2 linked regions of the Astyanax mexicanus genome follow. Each later gene encodes a partner of the first gene's protein in a complex. Links are inferred from orthologs where the notes say so. Each region holds a gene or a part of one and is shown on either strand. Other genes may lie near its edges. The genes, in order: ca16b and cntn4.

Evidence for each region.
Region 2: the proteins of ca16b (region 1) and cntn4 are in contact, whole or in part, in a crystal structure (PDB 3KLD), measured with the Mus musculus proteins. The link is inferred for Astyanax mexicanus from reciprocal best matches to the Homo sapiens genes PTPRG and CNTN4. Residues at the interface, in NP_033007.2 of Mus musculus: Lys222, Val225, His226, His227, Lys229, Phe288, Thr290, Gln293, Asp294, His295, Val296, Lys297, Ser298, Val299, Glu300, Tyr301; in NP_001103219.1 of Mus musculus: Thr128, Arg129, Ser130, Val132, Ser133, Arg135, Gln138, Gly139, Met140, Val141, Leu142, Leu143, Cys144, Gly145, Val219, Met220, Gly221, Glu222, Tyr223, Glu224, Pro225, Lys226, Glu228, Leu250, Asn304.

Annotation. Positions count from the first base shown.
Region 1 is NC_064412.1:10,142,323-10,154,862, reverse strand, and holds the start of ca16b (receptor-type tyrosine-protein phosphatase gamma), read left to right. Parts: upstream 1-6,446; 5' UTR 6,447-6,974; coding exon 6,975-7,062; intron 7,063-12,540.
Region 2 is NC_064412.1:221,661-233,590, forward strand, and holds the start of cntn4 (contactin-4), read right to left. Parts: upstream 5,540-11,930; 5' UTR 5,326-5,539; intron 1-5,325. Other genes in the region: uncharacterized protein LOC125802241, read left to right, coding at 5,540-5,740, 6,340-7,353. UniProt on the Homo sapiens protein: Contactins mediate cell surface interactions during nervous system development. Has some neurite outgrowth-promoting activity. May be involved in synaptogenesis.

The sequences.
Region 1 (12,540 bases):
TATCTAACATATTAGATGGAACTCCATCATCTCCTATAATGCAGTTCCATTGCTTCGCAACAGTAAAGTGCTCTAGGGCCTTATACACTTCTAGATGATGCTTGGCATTGGGCATAGTGATAATTAGGCTCATATGGATAAAACCTATAATCTATAGAGATTATACAGGGGTTGGACAATGAAACTGAAACACCTGTCTTATTTTAGTGTGGGAGGTTTCATGGCTAATTGGAGCAGCCTGGTGGCCAATCTTCATTAATTGCACATTGCACCAGTAAGAGCAGAGTGTGAAGGTTCAATTAGCAGGGTAAGAGCACAGTTTTGCTCAAAATATTGCAATGCACACAGCATTATGGGTGACATACCAGAGTTCAAAAGAGGACAAATTGTAGGTGCACATCTTGCTGGCGCATCTGTGACCGAGACAGCAAGTCTTGTGATGTATCAAGAGCCACGGTATCCAGGGTAACATCAGCATACCACCAAGAAGGACCAACCACATCCAACAGGATTAACTGTGGATGCTGTAAGAGGAAGCTGTCTGAAAGGAATGTTCGGGTACTAACCCGGATTGTATCCAAAAAAATTAAAACCACGGCTGATCAAATCACGACAGAATTCAATGTGCACCTCAACTTTCCTGTTTCCACCAGAACTGTCTGTCGGGACATAAATGATTGTAGTCTAAAAACAGGTGTTTCAGTTTCATTGTCCAACCCTTGTACTGTGTGTGTGTGTGTGTGTGTACTGTTGAACACCTGTGTCAGCAATGGATCCACCATAATGCATTTAAATTTACTAATTAAATGAGTTGTCCATATACTTTTGGACAGGGAGAGTACATTGTATACTATGCACTCCAAAAAAACAAACAATTATTTAGCATGCAATTGGGGACACGACGTCTGTCTTCGGTCATAGTGTGTGTATGTGTCTGTGTGTGCCTGTGTTTGTGTGTGGGTATGTGTGTGTATCTTCCAGGGGTCACCAGAGAGAGTTCCAGAAGAACAGGCAGATGGCCCACACTCTACATGCTCAGAACACTGTGACGGTCCCCAACAGCCCCTCTGAGAGAAGGGTAATTAAATACCGAATTTAATCAGATTCTTCAAATTAAAGTCCAGCTGGGCTTCTCTCCCAAATTCTCCTGCTGTTCATCATCCCACTGCCTCTCCTTTATATCAGCTGTCTGAGGAGCTCACTGAAGCCCGCTTACCAAGCCCACACCGACCTACCTGCTGCAGAGAGAGCCTGGAGGTGATAATTAGTGATAAAGTATTCAACTCACACTTTTGACAGAGTTAAGGAGAGCCAATGGACACTTAAAGCTTTCACAGAGCTGGCCTCAGCAAAGGAGGAAATCAGTCAGGTTTCATGCAGTCTGAGGTCTGAGGTGCCTGATGGAACTTACATGAACTTTTGTTCAGTTAACTCATCCTCTTCTTATTCTCTTTTAAAAGTAAAGGTGCTACAAGTTGATCTTTGAGCCCTGCCAAAGAAGAACTGCTTTTGGTTTCATGGGCTTCATAAACCAACCCTACTTTGGAAGTAATGCATTAATAAGAGCCCAGGCCTAAATATCTCAATATTGATACCAATTTTAAAGCTGGTGTCCGTAAGTTTTGGGATTTAGTGCCCTCTCTGGTGAGAATGAGTAATTCCACAGAGCATGCAGAAGAATCATTTTAAATTGGGCGGGTGTGATGTGGTCTCCTTTCAGAGCGGATGAATCAAATTCCAGGTTATGTTCAGTCAGAGAGAGAGAAAGCGCTCAGTCAGAAACTTCACTCCTTCGACTGTTTTTGTTCTTCACTCCTTCCTTTGTTTTTACTATGAGTGAATGAGCTACTGAGCTCTGAGTTTCCCCTTCTGAAGTCTCCATTGCTCCACCAGCTGCTCGTGTTCAGTAAAACTGAGCCGGATCTTCTTTTAGAGGCTGTACGTGTGGCGTAAGTACGTGGCCAGAGGAACTCCCACGAAAAGCAACCCAACACCCCAGTTTTTATAATGAATATATTAGGCTAAGCAGGGATATTGGTTTCAGCACACTGGTACCATTAAACACAATATTTTATCTCTTCTCCACTCATAAATGCTTCTGCTTTCAGTTTAGAAACAAAATAATACAGACTGCCACTTTAAAATTGAATCAGATAAATTCACTTAGCAGCTCATTCATGTTTGTTTCTTATTGCAGACACATGACTGTTAATCATGATGTAACATAAATGACAGAACAACAATTTCATAACTATTATTAACATTTGGTTCTAGAAATCATGTCAGAATTAGTTCTAAGGAACGTAAAACATTAATTTACGTAAGCTTTTGAATGGTTAAATAGTTGAAACAGAGCTGTAGAAGCAAATAATACACTTTAAAAGGAGCCAGCACTTCTACACTCTTTAAATAAGGTGAGATGAACGCACTCTGCTGTGATGCTCTCAGGATGTTTAGTATAGCAACCTCTTGTTCCCTATCATACACTCTGCACAAGGGACATTGTGATGCACTTTGCTATCTTATACACTGTCAACAGCCTATTTTTAAGCCTTGCACTTGTGTCGTTAAAATATAACAGAATAGGAGAAATGTTTCAACCATTTATCTGTTTTCTATTCCTTGCAGTATAAAAAGAGCCGATTTTTTACTGCTTAAAACATAATGCAACTCTTTGGACAAAACTGGGCTGATTTCACCTATTGATAAATACACAATAATCAATAATCTTCCACTGGTTCTGCTTGACAAGATAAATTTTAATACATTTATAACTAAATATGTAATCTGATGTATATGCATGTGTTATACTGTAAATCCCAATCCAGGTAGCCTTTAAATCAAGCGAGAATGTGAAATGCACTGATAGTTTCTTGCCACAGGTTAGAGGGCATACAAACAATTACAGCTGTAAATGAGACGTGCTTTTATCAGTGCAAGGCCAAATGAATCACAACGTTAATTGCTGGTGAATTGCCAGATGTAGAACTGCTGTTATTCCCTGTGTGTTATCTCCAGTGAGATACCCACAAACTGGGTGTGCCATCAAGGATTTAGTGAACAGCCTGTAGCTCTGTGGTGCCAACATTAGCCATCTTCATGCTGAAAAATAGAACAATATAGGCTGTGGCACTCTGGGGGGAGGGGCAGGCCTTCAGAAGCACGGCCAATGCCAAAGGCCTGGCAAACTTTCAGAACCGTGGACAGCGCCGGTCTCTGTGGCTTAAAGAGCAGGCACCCCATTCAGTGGAGAAAAGACAGAAAAAGAGAGAGAGAGAGAGAGAGAGAGAGACAACACACATCTCCTTCTCAGCCTGAGTAATAACAACACAAAGGAAAATGTCATTCATTATTCATTCGCTCCGTTATTAAACAGTTATGAGTAGCGATAAAGAAACTCCACAGATATATAGGAGGCAAATATACGGCTGTTTATATAGGCTATACATTTTATCCACACATCTATAGCCTTTAACACGTCCACTCTGTTGGTAATGGATGTTAAGCTGATTGGCTGAAAGTCAAGGCCATTAACGGGTTTACTAGAACATTTTATATAGATTACAGCATTGCTAAACACACCATGTTTGCAGCTTTAAAGGGTCAGATTAAAGTGCCAAAACACGGCAACAGAAAGGTTAAACAAGTTAATCAAGCTTAAATGTGTGTCCTTCTCTGTGTGTGTTCTTTAACACTTTAAAAATAAAGGTGCCAGAAAAAGTTTTTGGTGTGAGTAACATTTGGTTCCCAAAAGAACCTGTGGGCCTGAAGACATTTAAAATGTGTAAGTGATAAAAACCCTTTCAAACTGTGAAGAACCTCTATATAGGGCCATTTAGTGCTCTAAACAGTTGATTATAAGGCTTGTACCTTTAAAATACATACAAATTGTATGCATATATATATATATATATATATATATATATATATATATATATATATATACACACACAGCCAAACGCATATATGCATATTCAGTAATTTGGGAAAAAAATAAAACACCCTATTAATACTTATTTAAACTAATTTTACATTTTAGATGAAAGCAGCAGTTCTTTAGATTGCTTCTTTTAAATTGAACATAGTAGTAAATATATATATATATATATATATATATATATATATATATATATATATATGTATATATATATATAATTGCATTAATGTGCTTCTGCTACTATTCTTGCAAAGCTGCATATACCAGTGCCTCTCAAAATATTTGAATATAATAAAAAAAAAATACTTTATTTCAGAAATTCAGTTCAAAATGTATTATTATGTATTTTAATATTATATAAGACTCATTTGTACTTTTGGCAGTGTGGGCAGTGTGCCAAGTCCTGCTGGAAAATGAAATCCGCACCTCCATAAAACTTGTCAGCAGAGGGAAGGATGAAAAGTTTATTAAGTTATTACTGTTATTACTTACTGTTACTTCCTTACTGTTTTCCAGAGAAAAAAATATTATATCAAGTCCAAAGTCAGTCCCTGGAAGTGTCCAGTAGGTCCCATTACCTTTTTGTGGCTTTGTGTCGCTTTTACCTGAACAACCATGGTGCTGCTATTGGCACTGATACAAGGGCTAATGTGAAGATGGAGATTGAGAGATCAGAATGTCAAACTCTTAATCTCTTTCTTCACTAATCATAAGCCAAAGAAACACAGAAATAGAACTGAAGACAGCTTGCAAGATAAAACGGCACGCAACAAAATCCTCACTAAAATCACCAGATTCATTTACTCCCAATAGATACCGCACCATAATGCAGTAATTTAAAAATTATTTTGTAGCATGTTTGGTGCGATTACTCATTCTCACCAAAAACTTACAACAGACCATCACTTTAACTTTAACAGTATTAATAGTATTGAGAGATGGAGCTTACATAACTAAACAAATGCGTATATAAGGACTGTGCAAAAGTTTTAGGCATCAAAGCAAATTACACTAATCCATTTATCTCAGCAATATGAGTGTTTTACCTAAAAAAACATATAAATACAGTAAAAAGTAACAAGGAATTCTCAATTTGTGCATGTGTATATGTTCAGTTCTGTCAGCAGCTCACCTGATTTACCAATTTACCAAACCAGTTGTTGATATGATGAGAACTAGAATAATGTAAAGTAATACTAGTAATGCTAATGTTTTACTGAGCTAATACACACTTACTTCACAGAAAGACCCTTATTCTTTACAGAACTTCCCACAGGTGCCTAAAACATTTGCACACACACATTGATATATATATTGATATATAATATTTGTAAATTGTATTTTTATTCTTGTCAGGAAAATGTTTCTTTTACTATCACATTTAGTACTACTTAAAATGTCAAAAATTAGAATTTGACGCAGCTTATCAGCTGCAAATGATTCAATTGTGTTTGGAGAGGATGTGGGAGGAGCCTGACTTATTTTATCCTAATACATTAGTTTGATGTGATTGTTATAGTTGAGTGGATCAATATAGCCAGATCCAAAGAGCTCTCTCTGAGACCTTAAGAAAGAGGGTTGTAAAGGCAGATGGTTGACCAGCATTCCCACCATCACCGAGCTAGATTACCAGCAAGACCTAGCTGGATGCTCAGCATGGCTAAGCATGAATAAAATCTAATGAAGCATACACTATGTTGGTGACAAACTGGTTTACCAGTATAGGGCATGCTGGGTCTGAATGACCAGCTTCTTAACCACCGTGACAAACGAAGGCTTAGACCACCTAAAACCAGTTAACAGCAAATGCTGCTTTGTGCTGAATTTTCCAGAAATCTTCTATTACATTTACAGCATTTGGCAGACACTCTTATCCAGAGCAACTTGCAGAGTGCTTAGTCATTCACGTAGAACATTCAAGGAAAGTGTCGAGAGACCCTGGATTCTAGTTACTCTGAGATCAGATGCTCCCATGCATGAGCCACACAAGTTCAATTGCTAGTGATACAATTCTTCAGAGTGTAGAAATTACAGTACACAACTATGCAAGATCATCCAAAGAACAACAAGAACAAGATATAGTAATGCAACATAATCTTTAATAAGTATTAGTGCACTATGTGCTTATGGAAGAGGTTGGTCTTCAGCTGATGTTCACATATCAAGTGATTCTGCTGTTCAGACAATCAACATTTTAATAAATGTTTCTAATTGACTTTCCTGAATGACTGAGATTGGACCAAATGGTTTAAGGTCATGTAGAGGTCCTTTTAAACTTACTTACTGTAAAAAATGGCTTGGGCACGTGGGTCAGAGTAAGAGCATTGAAGCAAATCAGTGCCAGCATGCAAAAGCTGGTGGAGTCGTTTGCCTGCTGTAAATGGACGTTATGCAAATGCAGAGTCGTCCAGTAGCCAATCTTTAGCCGGTCTGACTCAACAACCGCTGAAGGAAGGCGCGTCCAGCCTTCGGCGCTAGGATCCGGAGGGGTGGTCTCTCTGTGCGCGCGCGTGTGTGTCTGTGTATGTGTGTGTGTGTGCATGCGTGCTCCTGCTTCCTGCCCGCTCGCGCTGCTGCTGCTGTAGAACTAATCCCTCAGTCAGAGCCCCTCGCGCCTCTTCCTTCACAAGTTCCTGCATGGAGCAGCGCGAGCGATCCGCGACAGTCCCCGGCTTTTCCTCGGCATAGCAAAGACGAGCAGGACCGCTGAGCTCCGGGACCGCGCGGAATTTTAATTATTGGACTTATACGGACGATGATGGAAGCGTGAAGGGGGCTCGCGCTGCATGAGGACGTCACCGAGAATTAACGTGTGTGCGTGTTTGCGTTTGCCTAACGTGGGCTGCCCGGTGTGATGTCCCGCGGAGCGCGAGCACGCAGCCCTGAACTGCTCGTGCGCGCTGAGATGAACTGCTGAAATCAGTGGTTTCATCTTCATCGTTTTCTTTTATGTTGATTATTATAGTCATTAGTATTAATAATACACGCGTCCTTTCAATCCGTGCGGGCGCGCTTCGCCATCAATGCGCATTCAGACATGTGGAGTCTACGGGAACCGCGCCGTCTCTCGGTCTTGGGCTTGACTTTGGCAGCTCTCCTCCTCCAGTCTTTCAGCTGCTATCCCGGTAAGTGGGCCTGAACACACTCCAGTACACCGAGCACTCAGTGCGTAAGTATTGTGGGCAGAATTTGAGCAAAAGTTCCTAAATTGTCCTTAAAAGCTCAACCACCCAAACCTGGCAACATCTAGCCAAACAATCAACCCAGCTGGCACACAACCGACCTTCAACGTTGAAATGAGGTTGAAATATGACTAAAGTAATGTCTGTTGTTTTTTCAACATTCAAACAAAGTTGAATCAACATTACCCAGCTGGCATTTCAAGGCTGAATCAACGTTGAACAACGTTAATGTTGTGGTTAAATCAACGTTTGATTTGGTGTTGATTTTGAAAAGTGATATAGCAACGTTGTTTCAACGTCATAAATTCAACCTTTGCTAAACCATGGCTTACTAAAATGAGAAAATCCTATGGTTAACAGAGTGTTAACAATATACTTACATGACTGTAGTAAAACTGAGTATAAAAAAGTGACCCACCACTACCAATCTGATTACTGAACATCTGATCTCAAAAACAGTGAAACAGTAAAACTATTAGAACATGAACATGGTATTAACTTAAAAAGCAGTTACTGCAAATAGAAGTAAAACACTTTTTCATTCCTCCATCCAACCGCTTTTAGAAATTGCTGATGAAATGTTAAATGCTGAGTTAAAAGGCAGAAGGACATTATTTAGGACATTATTCTGATTCAACTTAAAATTTCAAAGTTTGCACAACCATTTAACATTAAATGTTGATTCAACATTGTTTCAATGTTCAATCAATATAATGTCCTCAACCTTCTGCTTTTTGAATCAGCATTTAACATTTTTATCTACAAATGGTTGGATGGAGGAATGAAACAGTGTTTTACTTCTATTTGCAGTAACTGCTTTTTAATTTAACACCATGTTCTTTTAGTTTTACTGTTTTAGTGTTTTTGAGATCAGATGTTCAGTAATCAGATTGGTAGTGGTGGGTAACTTTCTTTATACTCAGCTTTATTACAGGGATGTAAGTTTATTGTTAACACTTTGTTAACCATAGGATTTTCTAATTTTAGTGAGCTATGGTTTATTAAAGGTTGAACATATGATGTTGCCATATCAATGTTGATTCACATTTTTTAAAATCAACACCAAATCCAATGTGGATTCAACCGTAACATCAACATTGATTTGGTTTTAGACATTTTTTGGATACTTAAACATGTCAAAGTGACCCGGCAACACCATTCCTGGTCCTAATAAATTAACATAATAGAAGGGGTTAAATCATAAATCAGTAACTGTAAATTAGAAAGAAAACGCATTGCTGTTGTGCTGTTGTCTTGAATGGTTGTATAAGCATTAGTTATTATATCTTGACTTAAATAAGACCACTTAATATATTTAGTGATATATGTTAGTGATATAAATGGAAAACAACACCAGAATCAAACTAGACAGTAAAGATTGTGAATGAATATATATGTATATATATTTTTTTTTTTTTTACATTTCATGCTTGTATTCTCTATAGAACCATTGTCGTTAACAAACACAAAAAGGATCAAATATATTAAAAGTGTACAGTGTAAGAATGAAAGCAACACATAATCTGTAGTTTAAAGGTGTAGAAACAACATCGCAATATCAATGTTGATTTATCTCTCAAAGTCAGAACATAATTTGACATTGATTTGATGCAGGATAGGGTGGCATGATATGAAGATTTCTATTTAGTCGCTGCATGGGTAGAAGGTCTATGCCCATATTACACACATGACTGTATTATTTATTGATACCCAAGACCATTTTGTCCAGAGCACTTAGTGATGGATCGGTTTACCTTGAGGAATTACATCTGTTTCCATTAAGCTTAAAAAAAGTACAGTCTGGAAATATGTCCAGTGTACTGATTCATGTTTAGATTCATGAAGAACCATTTTTGTAAAGGAAATATGAGTGCAAAGAACATTTCAATAGGAAAAGAACCTTTACATCACCTTCTTTACACCTTTGGAAGGTTCTTTTTACACGCTTTTACACCTTATCCTTTTTTATTCACCAGGATCTTATTTTCCTAAATTTGTTCTTTAAAAAAAAAGAGCTGTAATTGTCTACAGTTTTCAGGTTCATTTGGTGCACAGAACTGTTATATATAGAATGTTCATATAATGATGGATCCCAGTATCCTCATTAACACTGATGAATATCAGAATCCTTGTGAAAAAGCCTCATTTCTAAGTGTTTTTTGTGATAATGGGTGAATATTAAATCCCTAAAAGCTTATTTAATTGCCTCCCACACAAAACTGAAGCCAATTTAACTCAATTCATTATTGCAGTCATCTTCACGAGGTGAGGAATATTATCTATAGAATAATAATTTTAGGAAAAATGATTGTCTTGTAAGATTCTGCTGCTACAGATGCATTTTCACTATGGGTCAATTAAATATTGTGATATTATAGGTAATATAGGTAATATAATATGTCAAGTTAAAAGAACTATTGATCATTTAATCATTTAATAAACAGACATGGATTTGTGTTAATAGGAATTTCAAGCATATCAGTTATATTATATGGATGAAATATACTCAAACGCAAAAATAATGCAAAGAAAACAAGTTTATATTCATAAAGTTTTAAGAGTTCAGAAATCAATATTTGGTGTAATAACCCTGGTTTTTAGCACAGTTTTCATGCATCTTGGCATTCTTTGCCTCCACCAGTCTTACACACTGCTTTTGGATACATTTTTGCCACTCCTGGTGCAAAAATTCAAGCAGTTTAGCTTGGTTTGATGGCTTGCGGTCATCCATCTTGCTCTTAATTTTCAATTTGGTAAAATCAAGGAAAATTATCATCATTAAGTGGTATCTTATTTTTTTCCAGAGCTGTATATATGTATATATATATATATATATATATATATATATATATATATATATATATATCATTATTGTGATATATCATGTTGTCTTGATTGTATCATATCATATCATATAAATATTTAGCATCAGTTATCAATATTGTTATTGAAACTCTCTCACACTCGCACCTCAGTTTGATGTACTAAAGTTACTGCTTCATTACTTCATGCTGTAGTGCTTATCTTATAAGTAGGGTAATTAATCTAATAAATTGGGTGGTTAAACTATGTTAAACTGACACCAATAAATCTGTTTTCCCTGGTATATATTTTTTGGTTTATTAATTTCTCCTCTTTAGTAACACGGATGTCGTGAAGTATTGAAGAGAATTGTCTTGTGATAATATCAAGTACCACAGAATGACAGTATCATTACATCATCATCATTATCATGTGCAGTGTATCGTAATAATAGTGTTTAATGAGATGATTCTCTATGATTCTCACTCCTAGTAGAAATGCATAGACAAAATAGTCATTGCAAACATTACAACAGGGTGTGGGAACGTTATTTTGCTCGAGCATAATCCAGAGTAAGCCCTGTGTATATATTTAATGGAGTTAATTAATTGATTAGCAGGATTATTTAAGGTAGCAGTCAGTTTAGGCCAGATCTAATCCCACATAGAATTAGAATCTAAGCTGGTGCAGTTCTTCTCTTTCTAAGTGGGTTTTCAGAAAATAAATTTCTTTTTAAGATCAGTTGCTGATTGAGGCCCGTGCTTCTTTATGGCGCTGAAAATGTTTCCTCTATGGCATTGCTCAAAGAGCCCTTTGAAGAGTCTTCATTTTTAAGAGTGAAGGTTTTTGAATTGTGCACAGTTTCATGCCTATTTCATCCTCTAGCTGAAATAGCCATAAAGAACAATTCTATATTCTAGTTGACCTTGAGGTAAAATGACCTGGATAGCCCACTATACAGTTAATGTACAAAAACAGTATAGCTTCCTCAGTGACTCGGTGAGATGGTTCTGGGAAGTTCTTTAGTAGGGGTGTTAGAAAATATCGATATATTGAAGCATCACGTTATTATGTTTTGCAAAACTGTCTCAAAAACACAGTGTGGATTTTGAATTATCAGTCTTTAATGTAAAGATTGGTTTCAGACAGTGGTTTGTTTAGTGTTTTGTTTTTGCTTGCATAAAAAAGAACAGTTGCTTTTTAGAGTTTATGTACAGTGCCCTCCATAATTATTGGCACCCCTGGTTAAGATGTGTTCTTTAGCTTCTCATAAATTGAGTTTTGTTCAAAATAATATAGGACCACGATGGGAAAAAAAAGTAAAGTCCAACCTTTAACTCAAGTAAATTTTAAGGGGGAAATAAAATCCCTGACTAAGAAATAATTATTCTTCATAAAATCACCTGTTCCACAATTATTGGCACCCCTAACAATTCTATGTATGAACATTTAATTAGTAATTCACAACTTCCTGTTTCCCTGGGGTATAAATATGACGTGACACAGAGGCCATTTATCTTCAACATGGGAAAGACAAAGGAACATACCATTCAAGTGAGGCAGATGTGTGTTGACCTTCACAAGTCAGGCAATGGCTACAAGAAAATCGCTACTCGCCTACACCTGTCCATATCTACTGTCAGAGGAATTATTAAGAAGTTTAAAACAACTGGAACAGTGGTAAACAAGCCTGGACGAGGACGCAAGTTTATTTTGCCACCACGCACAGTGAGGAGGATGATAAGAGAAATAAAAAGTTCTCCAAAGCTCACTGTTACAGAATTGCAACAAATGGTAGCTTCTTGGGGTCACAAAGTCTCCAAAACAACCATCAGGCGCTATCTACATGCCAACAAGCTGTTTGGGAGGCATGCACGGAAGAAACCATTTCTCACTCACAATCATAAACGCAAACGTTTGGAGTTTGCTAAGCGGTACTATGACTTCAACTGGGACCGTGTGCTTTGGTCAGATGAAACAAAGATAGAGCTTTTTGGCAACAAATGCTCTAAGTGGGTCTGGCGTAACACAAGAGCTGAGTATGCAGAAAAGCACCTCATGCCCACTGTGAAATACGGCGGGGGATCAGTGATGCTGTGGGCCTGTTTCTCTTCTAAAGGCCCTGGGAACCTTGTTAGGGTGCATGGCATCATGAATGCTCTAAAATACCAGGACATTTTAAAACAAAATCTGGTGGCTTCTGCCCGAAAGCTGAAGATGGGTTGTCACTGGGTCTTTCAGCAAGATAATGACCCTAAACATGTGGCCAAATCTACACAGAAATGGTTCACCGCACACAGAATCAAGCTCCTCCCATGGCCATCTCAGTCCCCAGACCTCAACCCCATTGAAAACCTGTGGGGTGAGCTGAAGAGGAGAGTGCAGAGGAGAGGACCCAGGTCGTTGGATGATTTAGAGAGAATGTGCAAAGAGGAATGGTCAAAGATCCCTCTTTCTGTATTCTCCCATCTTGTGAAACATTACAGGAGAAGATTAGGTGCTGTTTTGTTGGCAAAAGGGGGTTGTACAAAGTATTAACATCAGGGGTGCTAATAATTGTGGCACACATGATTTGATGTTAAATAATTATATCTTAATGTGGGATTTTTTTCCTACTGA
Region 2 (11,930 bases), about 9.9 Mb from region 1:
GCACAGTTTAGCAGTGCAGATATTTCCAGTTACAGCTGAATTCACACTTTTAATCCCAGAAAAACAAACGCTCTTATTTACCTTTTAAAAAAGACATTTAAATGCTGATTAAAGGGCCGATTATTGTTTTTTTGCTGTTTTTCTCGGGTTTTGAGAACTTTGTGCTGATTCAGCTCTTGATTGGTCCGGATGCCAGACAGCACACACGCGGGGGGGCGGGGCTAGTGATGTCATGGACCCAGCGTTGTTTAATATTGTGCTATATACTGCAGAAAAAAGGACATCAGCGATGTATCATGTCTCCAGTATCGTGCAGCTCTACAGTGCTGTTTTATAAATGCTGGGTTTAAACTCGGATCTGTTCAGAACTCTGCAGTCGGTGGAAAAGCTCAGACACAGATGCCAGGATTACTCTCCCCAACCACACACACACACACACACACACACACTATACACACACACACACTATACACACACACACACACACACACACTATACACACACACACACTATACACACACACACACTATACACACACACACACACTATACACACACACACACACACACACTATACACACACACACACTATACACACACACACACTATACACACACACACACACACACACACACACACTATACACACACACACACTATACACACACACACACACTATACACACACACACACACACTATACACACACACACTATACACACACACACACACTATACACACACACTATACACACACACACACTATACACACACACACACTATACACACACACACTTCTGCTGAGGCACAGTTTAATGTTATTTATTCCTCTCAGTGACATCATCTAATCCATGACACTAAACCCAGGAGAACATCTGAATAATTAATTGGCTGGAGGCCAAGAACCAATAGTGTACCTGTCCAAAAGTATCCGGACACCCTTTATAATCTAATCTAATCTAATCTAATCTAATCTAAAAAACCTAAAGCTCTGACTGACAGAACAGAACCGTCTGGAGCCCCCAGACCCAAACCTCCCCACACCAGTATCCCCCCCCCCCCCCAGCTAACAGAGTTAACAGAGATGTTTTCCAAAGTTTTCAGGAAGTTCAGTCTGTACCGTTTTATAAATAATGCTGCAGAAATAACATAATAATGACATAATAATGTTTCTCATCACAACATTATTAGAACATTTCTTGCACAACAATCTCAACTAGAGAAATACTAACATTATACATTATATTAAAGTAATATTCGCAAAACTAAACATTAAAACACTGATAAGTGATGTTATAGAGAAACAGTCAATACTGTACAGTTTAAAAAGCTTAAATCAATATATCAATATATACACAATATAAAATATCATTATATAGTAATATCACAGCTGCTGTGGGTTACCATATATAAATGTGATTTATTTGAGATGACGGTGTTTCCTTCAGCTCTTTATATTTAAGACGAACGTCTCGACAACAAACAGGAAGAACAGCAGCGTTTACTGGTTAAATTCTCCATCAGGAAGAGACTAATTATCCAGCAAGAACCAGTGAAACACCAGCAACGTCACCACAACCCCCCAACCACCCCCCTTTACCTTTATAAACAACAATAAATCATCAACAAAAACAGAGACCCTCCACAGCAACCCCCCCCCCCCCCCCCCAACAAGGGATTCACCTCGACTAAACGACTAAAGAATACAATATTTTACTATTATATCACTGAAACATTGCGATTAAAAGCAGCCGGAGTAATACTGATTCAATAATAAACACTTAACTATTTACTACTTAAACTCTTTATATCATTTATGGTGTTAAATAAAAATGAACATTACAAAACATAATCAACATTATACTTTATTAAGGATTTATCATACTGTCACATATATAGTATATTTATATTTTTCTGAGATTTATCAAGATACGAGTATTTAGTCACATCATCCAGCCATAGTGCAAATAACTCACTGTAATGCCACTGAAGAACCGTATGTGAGTTGGGGTGATCCATATCATATTGTACACAATAATATCGCCAACTTTTTTTGAATAAATATGATATTATACCCTGAAATATGGAGCCATAACACCCCCCCCTAATTATCACATCAGGGTTCTTTTTACCTTTTTACTGTTTTTATCAAAAGAAAAATTCACACTGTTCTCATTTCCCATTATATATCTACTAGAGACAGATTATATCTGTCCAGTATCATTTATTTTACTTTAATCCTGGATATGTGGAGATATATGGAGTGCATTATTATTATTAGTATCATGATATTCTGGATCACTGACTTCTGTTACTGTAAATCTGATAAAATTCTTGTATTTCTTAATATCTCAGTTATTAGGGGTGTGAAATATCATATTGTATCATATGCAGTAATAAAATGTAATTTTCATTTTGTTGCAGTAACATTAGTGTATTCTTAAATATATATTTTTAATTCAGTGTTTTGTCATATTGCCAAGAGTATCGTTATTGCAGAAATACCATGAAATATTGTGATATAATTTTAGATCATTTTAGATAATAAAACCCTTAAATAATCATGTTAAACGTCCTTCACACTCGTTACAATACAAGTATTAAAGTGTGTTTCTCTGCAGAAGCAGAACCCGGTTATGGGTTTTCTGATTCGGGTCAGGGCCGGAGTCTCTCTGAGTTTCTGAGAGGACTTTAGCTGAGCTCAGATCAGCCGGTCCGGCCGGATTAAACGATTCGGACAGAGAGAGCAGATTAACCAACATCTGCACTTTTCATCTGTGAAACGCGACGCCAATCTCGTAGATGAGCTCCGTCCCGTTCTGACCGTTTCAGATCACCACCGTCACGCTAATCCCGCGTAACACACACCGAGCAGACGCTGCAGATTAAACATCCAGGAACAACCCAGACGCAAAAACCTCACAGAGAGAAGTTCAGTCTCCAGCAGAAACAACAACAATCATAAAGTACATTTACTCATGACTGGGTATTCACATATTCACTTCTCACAACTATTTTATAATGTATGCATATTTATATTTATAATATATATTATATGTATATTATCTATCTAACAACAACCATAATACCAGCAGCAGCAGCAGCAGCAGGAGAGTCAATATCAGAACTCAAACTGAATTAATGCACAAACTACATCAATATATCATATAAATATATACTAGAGTACAGACTGTAATAGAGCTGAGTAAATACAGCTGGAGTAAAGACATGTGAAAGTGATGTGAAAATACAGTGAATACAGTCTGACAGTTTATATATTTAAATGTATTTGTATATATATTTTATACAGGGACTGTTTCAGAGACAGGGATTAAGCCTAGTCTACAAAACATCCTGCAGGAAGATTTTCCACTGAAAGATTGAAACTGATCTATGATAAATCCCAGACCGTGAAACTAAACCACCGCGTATAAAAACAATAACTATTAAAACACCATTTTACTAGAGCGAAGAACCTCAATCTATAAAGAATCTTCTATACAGCAAAAACACGACAGTTACGAGTGAAAACACTACACTGCTACTATATACAACCTCTATAACACTAACAGTATAGAATCACAACTTTAAAACACTTTAATCTGAAATTTGATACGACAGCGTATGTATAAATAAATTTCTATAATAAAGTTAGTTATAATACACAGCTAATATTTTATGTTTAAAAAACGACGTAAGTGTTACAATCAAAAACTCGAGGTATAAATTCAAAACTAGTGTTGATTTACACTGATAAACCTGCTGTGTAACAAAATTAAAAAAACTAATATCACCAGTACTATCAGCAGTATTAATTTGTGTAGTAGTTTAATATTAACAGAAGATGTTTCAGAATTACATTAATTATTCAGTAGTAGGAGTTATTTATTATTAATTTCATTAGTAGTAGTATTAATAGTAATAGCATCGTTATTAGTAGTATTTGTTGTTTTATCATTACTAAAAAGATTATTATTAGCATTATAATTAAAGTAGTATTATTAGTATTGTCATTACTAGTAGTAGTATTGTTATTAAAAGCAGTTGTTGTTTCAGTATTACTATGATTACTATTAGTATTAAAGTAGTATTATTAGTAATATTAGTATTAGTTTTAGTATCAATATCTCTAACAGTAGTAGTATTATTATTGTTAGTAGAAGTAGTTGTATCAGTATCATAATATTGATTGCTAATATTAATATTAGTAGTGGTATTATCAGTATAGTAGTATGATTAGTATAGTAGTATTATTAGTAAAGCAGTATTATCAGTATAGTAGTGTTAATACAATGGTATGATTAGTATAGTTGTATTAACAGTATGGTAGTGTTATTAGCATAGTATTGTTAGTAATATGAGTATTATTTGTAAAGCCGTATTATTAGTATAGTAGTATCAATAGTAAAATGCTATTGTTAGTAATGAGTATTATTAGTAATATGAGCATTATTATAAAGGCAGTATTATTATTATAGTAGTACCAATAGTATAGTATTGTTAGTAATATGAGTATTGTTAGTAAAGCAGTATTGTGGGTATAATATTTTATTAGTAGCATTGTAAGTAATATGAGTATTGTTAGTAATATGAGTATTGTTAGAAATATGAGTATTGTTAGTGATGAGTATTGACAGTAAAGCAACATTATAAGTTTAGTTGTTATTAATATGATAGTGTTAATAGTATAGTAGCATTATTAGTAGTATTGTTAGTAACATAATTAGTGTTAGTAAAGTATTATGAGTATAGTAGTGTTAACAGTATAGTAGTATAAGCAGTAGTATTGTAAGAAATGATTATTGATAGTAAATCAGTATAGTAGTGTTAAGTATTAATATAATAGTGTTATTAGTATAGCAGTATTGTCAGTAATAAAAGTATTTTAGTAAAGCAGGTTTATAAGTATAGTAGTATTAATAGTAGTATTGTTAGTAATATGAGCATTATAGTTTAGTATGAGTATAGTAATAGTATTAATAAAGCGCGGTATTGTTGGTATAATAGTGTTTTTAGTATAGTATTATTAGTATAATAAGTATTAATGAAGCACAGTATTATTGGTATAGAAGTATTGATAGTAAAATGAGTATAGTTAGTGTAATTATGAATATTAATAAAGCGCAGTGAGGAGCGGGGCTGGTGTATCCGGTGGCCGGTTAGAAGCTCCTCTCCTCCCGCTCCTCCGAGTCTCAGCGCGCCGCGTCACTAACCCCCGCGCCTCCCCGCTCCTCCCCCGGGCTGAGCCGCTCCCCTGGCCGCTCTGCGCGCTGCTCTGGCCGGCGGCGGCTCGGCGCTGCCCCGCGGTCTCCGGGTCTCAGATACTCACTGTGCAGCGCGAGCTCCTCTCCTCCTCCTCAGGGCGCGCGGGCTGTTTCCCTCCGCAGCTCGAGCATCCGAACCGCACCGACCCCGCACACACACAACCCCGCACCGCACACACTGCACCGCGCCGCACACTGCCTCACACACACTCATACACACACATGCACGCGCGCGAACGCCCACACACACACACACACGCTCTCTTGGTGCTGGTGCAGGTGTCGGGAGCGGGAGCGCGCGGCGGCGAGGCTGCAGGGATTGAGCGCGTATCCCGCGCTCAGCTCGGGGAGGAGTCGCGCGCAGACTCCGAGAGGCGGCGCCTCCCACGCGCTCCAACCGGCGACGATCCGCGAGCGACCCAAATAAAACCCAGCCTGCGGTCCCGCAGCCCGGTCCGGTCCAACCAGGAGGATTCTGCTGTAGATCAGCAGCTCCGGATTCTGCAGCTTCTGATCTGATTTATTATACACTGAGGTACCGCGACTTGCAAAAGTCTTCATACCCCCTGAACTTCACCACATTCTATCATGCCCAATATTCATACATATAATGGCCCAATACCAAAAATGTAACTTTGTATCAACTCAAGACTTCTGAATTCTCCCAACTTTCACTTAAAAATAAATATTTGAGAGAAGATCTAGTTTTTTTTATATAAAAATGTTGACATAATTAAAAGGTTGGCAAATGTCTGATCTATTCACCACCAATGTAAAGAAATCTCTTCAATTCTCTACAATTTCACACCAAAAACACTATTAATTATTTTTTTCATCAATGGTATTAAAACTAGTGATATAATGTCTAATAGAAGTGCATTCATACACCCAACAAAACAAACAAAAAGTAGAAAATGGGTCTTTAACTATTGTTTTATATTATTTTTGACTCATCAGCAAAAAAACGGATTCACTTTCTGCTCACATCCTGTAACACAAACATCTAATCACAATTAATCACACTGATCACCAGTACAGATCAATAACTCACAGTGTGGAGTCATTGATTAATAAAACAGCAAAACAACAGCACTGCTAATCTCCAGGTGATTTACTTCCTACCACCTAACCTCCTACACCCCAAACTTCTACCCCCCAACAACCTCCTACCCCCCAACAACCTCCTACACCCCAACAACCTCCTACCCCCAACAACCTCCTACCCCCAACAACCTCCTACACCCCAAACTTCTACACTCCAACAACCTCCTACACCCCAACAACCTCCTACCCCCCAACAACCTCCTACCCCCCAACAACCTCCTACCCCCCAACAACCTCCTACCCCCCAACAACCTCCTACCCCCCAACAACCTCCTACACCCCAACAACCTCCTACCCCCCAACAACCTCCTACCCCCCAACAACCTCCTACCCCCCAACAACCTCCTACCCCCCAACAACCTCCTACCCCCAACAACCTCCTACCCCCCAACAACCTCCTACACCCCAACAACCTCCTACCCCCCAACAACCTCCTACACCCCAACAACCTCCTACCCCCCAACAACCTCCTACCCCCCAACAACCTCCTACCCCCCAACAACCTCCTACCCCCAACAACCTCCTACACCCCAACAACCTCCTACCCCCCAACAACCTCCTACCTCCCAACAACCTCCTACCCCCCAACAACCTCCTACCCCCAACAACCTCCTACCCCCCAACAACCTCCTACACCCCAAACTTCTACACTCCAACAACCTCCTACCCCCCAACAACCTCCTACCTCCCAACAACCTCCTACCCCCCAACAACCTCCTACACCCCAACCTGTTACCCCTCAACAACCTTCTACCCCCCAAACGTTTACCCCCAACAACCTACTACCCCCAAAATTTTACCCACAACAACCTCCTACCCCCAAAAACATTCGGCCCCCAACCTTTTACCCCCAACAACTTACTACCCCCCAAAAACACCTACAACCTTCTACTTCCCCAACTTTCTACCCCCAAACTTCTACCCCAACAACCGCCAACAACCCCCTACAACTTTCTACCCCTCAACCCCCCCCTTTCTCATCATGGTGATGCTGTTCACTGTTTTTAGTGAAGAGCAGGATCAGCAGGATCTCTCTCTCTCAGGAAGGAGGTGTAGTAGTGAGCTCTGAGATGTACATTATCTGATGAAATATTTATTCTCTTTAATGAGAACACATCCGTCTCCAGTGGGAGGAGCAGAACTTCTCCATCTCTCAGTACCGTTAGAGTACTCAGTGTAACTCAGTGGATGGATGTGTAGGTGTGGTGTGGACGGGGGTCTGCGGGGTCTGCAGGTCAGAGAGAGTATCTTAAGCCTCTCAGTGAGAGTCCTGATCAATAGCGTGAGCTTATTGACCCGCCGGCTCCCCGCGGCGGCGGTGATGGCGATGGCGGTGCTGTAGCGCGAGAGCTGCAGGGCGCGAGAGTGAAGGGTTTTGACAGCATTGTTATGTGCGTTTCTGCACTGCGGTGTGACCGGGGTCTGATTTGCATACGGTGACGCCGGAGCTGAACTCCAAAATCCGAGATAAACTGCCTGAGAAATACGACTCCTGGGCTTTTCTACACCAACACACACTCTCACAAATACAGGTATTTACAAGAGTTCTGTAAGTGATGCTGTAGATAAAACATTTTAATCTCAAACAACCACAGACTGCATTTACCCAAAATACAGCTCTGAAAAAAATAAAAGAGCACATAAAATGATGAGTTTCTTTGATTTGACCAAATTAAAAACCTCTGGAATATAATCAAGAGGAAGATGGATGATCACAAACCATCAAACCACCAAACTGAACTGCTTGAACTTTTACACCAGGAGTAAAGCAGCATAAAGTTATCTGAACCAAGTAGAGAATAAAGCTGCAGAGAATTTAGAAATGTAAAATGTGAAAATGACCCTGTACTGATGAGTTCAGGACGAGTTTACAGAAAGAATGTGACAAAATAACAGAAACACTTCATCACTTGGTTTTAGTTTTGTGTGTTGTAGGGAAAAATTGGAAAAATGGCAGAGTGGAGTTTTTTTTTTGCAATATATATTTAATTTATAATTTTATGTTTTACAGGCTTGAAATGCAGGATTGGATGCACGTTAACTACTGAATGAAGTTAAGCAAACGTTAATAAAATAAAACTTAAATTTTCCATACTATTTCAGTTTTTTCATTTTCGGATATAAAACAGATTTAACAGTGTAAGGAAGCTTTTAAAAGCTCAGATTGATGTAAAGGTTTATCTTTTCCAATTTTCTGTAGCTTTGCTAAATTTAAACCAGGTTCAGTGTTCAGCGTGTAGAATCAGATCTGCTCCTCGAGCTGCTGAAGCTTCTCTGCTTCTTCTGGATTTTTGTGGAGAAACTAATTAAAACGTGCAGCTGATGGATTATCAGATCAGTTCTGCGTAAATCAGTCCGACTTCAGGAGATCAATCAGCAGCCGGAGACGCGACGCAGCGACCGGCCTGATGGAGATAATCCACTAGATGGCACAAGCTAACAAGCCTGTTGTCAAACACACAACACACACTTAACACACACGCACAGTACACACACCCCCTACACACTACACACACTACACACCCCTTCACACACTCGGCTCTGAATGAAACACAGCAGAAACTCTGCAGCCGGACCCGGTGAACACCGCAGCGCCGGCTGGGCGGGATCTTCACAGTGTTATTTACATAATTACGACAGCGCCGTATCGCCGTCCAATCAGGGGTAGTGCTGCGATTCGGCTCGCTCCCACAAATGAATTCAACCTTTGATCCCTTCAATTTTTCTTTATCCACGCCTAAGCCCTAATTATAGTAAGTGGGATTTAAGAAAATCTTCTCCTTTCAAAACAGTCAATGGGAAAGACGATAATTAAAGGGGAAGTAAATTGAATTCCTGATGGGATTAACTGAGGAGAAACGCCGCAAAAAAAGAGCAGCAGTTCAGAGAGACCAACGCCGGATACTCCGACTTTAATTCAGTCAACTGTCCCTTCTTAAAAACACACACCAACTCACTAAACACACACACACACACACACTTTACACACTTACACACACACACTATACACACACACACTATACACACTTACACTCACAGTAAAGATTTAAAAAAAATCCTGCAATTTCTAACAAAATCTGAACAATTTAACACGTGAAGAATCACTCATCACTATGATCCTTGTTTAAATCCCAGGTCATTATGTTTCTCCATCAGCAGCCGGAGTCTGAGAGAGAGAGAGAGAGAGAGAGAGAGAGAGAAAGAGAGAGAGAGTACAGTAGGTCATGCTATTTCTCCATCAGCAGCCGGAGTCTGAGAGAGAGAGAGAGAGAGAGAGAGTACAGTAGATCATGCTGTTTCTCCATCAGCAGCCGGAGTCCGAGAGAGAGAGAGAGAGAGAGAGAGAGAGAGTACAGTAGATCATGCTGTTTCTCCATCAGCAGCCGGAGTCCGAGAGAGAGAGAGAGAGAGAGAGAGAGAGAGAGAGAGAGAGAGAGTACAGTAGGTCATGCTGTTTCTCCATCAGCAGCCGGAGTCCGAGAGAGAGAGAGAGAGAGAGAGAGAGAGAGAGAGTACAGTAGGTCATGCTGTTTCTCCATCAGCAGCCGGAGTCTGAGAGAGAGAGAGAGAGAGAGAGAGAGAGAGAGAGTACAGTAGATCATGCTGCTTCTCCATCAGCAGCCGGAGTCTGAGAGAGAGAGAGAGAGAGAGAGAGAGAGAGAGTACAGTAGATCATGCTGTTTCTCCATCAGCAGCCGGAGTCTGAGAGAGAGAGAGAGAGAGAGAGTACAGTAGGTCATGCTATTTCTCCATCAGCGGCCGGAGTCTGAGAGAGAGAGAGAGAGAGAGTACAGCAGGTCATTCTGAAACATATGTTAACCAGCTAACTGATCTGTTTCCAGTGTTTTATTTGTTGTTTAAATAACACGACTGTGTGTTTCTGTTTCACCAAACCTCAATAAAAGCTCTGAGACTTTTATTTTGCTCTCTATGCTACAATTCTATCATAAATAAACATCACTATAACCCCAGATCTCTGAATCACCAAATCTTCCGGATTATCACTTTAAGTGCAGGATTTCAGTAGAACACAGTGAGATTAGGGATGTTTTGGACGTTTCTTCAGTGAGGATTACGGATTATTGTTTAGGAGAAGTTCTAATATTATTCTAATATTAGTTCAGGTAGTTTCTCTGCACGCTTCACTGTTTCTTTATAAATATGGTTTTAATCTGCAGTGCATTGTGGGTAGTGTACTGAGACAGCACTGATCAGGGCTGGAGTTGGAGGGAGTTCCTCTCAGGCTGTTTGATGGAATCTGAGAGCTGAAGCTTCTGGAGATTTCCAGCTGAACTCGACTCAGAGTCACGTCTGTTCACACTCACTTCACCAGCGCTAATGACTCTCAGACCGAGACATTTAACCTCAGACTGTCCGTCTTTTAGCTAAAGGATAGCAGAGCCTCTGAACCGTGAAATAGAGCGAGTTGTACTGCTCTAAGTGTGGAGTTATCTCGCTCCGGACCAGGATAAATCAATTACGCCGCTCTCCGTTTTATCGATGCCGGGCAGGTGCGTGAGCTCCACCGTCACGTTGATATTCCGCGTGCACGCGGATTGTTGATAACTCATTAACTCAAGAAAATTCCCTTCCTGCAGGAGAGAGGTATGAGGAGCTTTATTAACCAGTAATGTGGAATGTTAAAAAATTAACAAGGCTGGTAATTTTCACAGTTTTAGCAGCTGAAGAAGCTTCAATCCTGCAGGACTGAGCGTTATTTTCAGTAGAGTAAAGTCAGACGCGGTTTTTATCATGGTGAAGATACTCGAGATGTTTACCCGAGACAAGGTCAGTGTTGTCACCGGTGCTGAGAGCCACCCTCAACTATCTCTCCTCCAACAAAGACATGAATCCAGTCCAGCGGAGAGCGAGTTCAGCCAACATTAGCCAGACTCTGAGCGGCGGAACGGATTTAGCCCTGCATTACACAGGAAGCTGCAGTTATCAGGCCTTTTTATCAGTGGCCACAGGCTTGTTACCAAATAACGGCTGATATTCCCTTTCCATTTCTAATCACATTTCAGATTCTGGCTTCATTCGTCAACGCTTTTAGCTCCGGCTGAAAAAAACCCCAAACTGACAGATACTCTACACTCTATGTTCCAGTCCAATACGATAAACTATAATACCGACTGTTCCCCGACACCAGACTTCACAATAACAAGATCCTATCTGTTAAATCTGCCGCTCTGAGAACATCCACTTCTCCTTTCTGAAAAAGGAAGATGAAATCTGTTTATTTAAACAACAAACAACAAAGCAAAGACACGGTTATAAAAAAAACATACACAAGTCCAGAGAACTGAAAATGTCTTACTCAATTCAATAATTTAAAAGAATTAAATTCTTATTGGAAGTAGAATCCGTCAAATATCTGTCAAACTGGAGGAAACAGTTAAAGAATATATTTATAAAATGTCGAACTACAACTGCATATTACTGTTTTAACAGAACCTTTATCTCTGGTTTTCATGCTGTTTTCTCAGGCAGGCCTGATGCCCAATATTATTTATTATATAAAAATATAATGTTAAAAAGATCCAGTGGAAAAAAAAAGTGGAAAAAG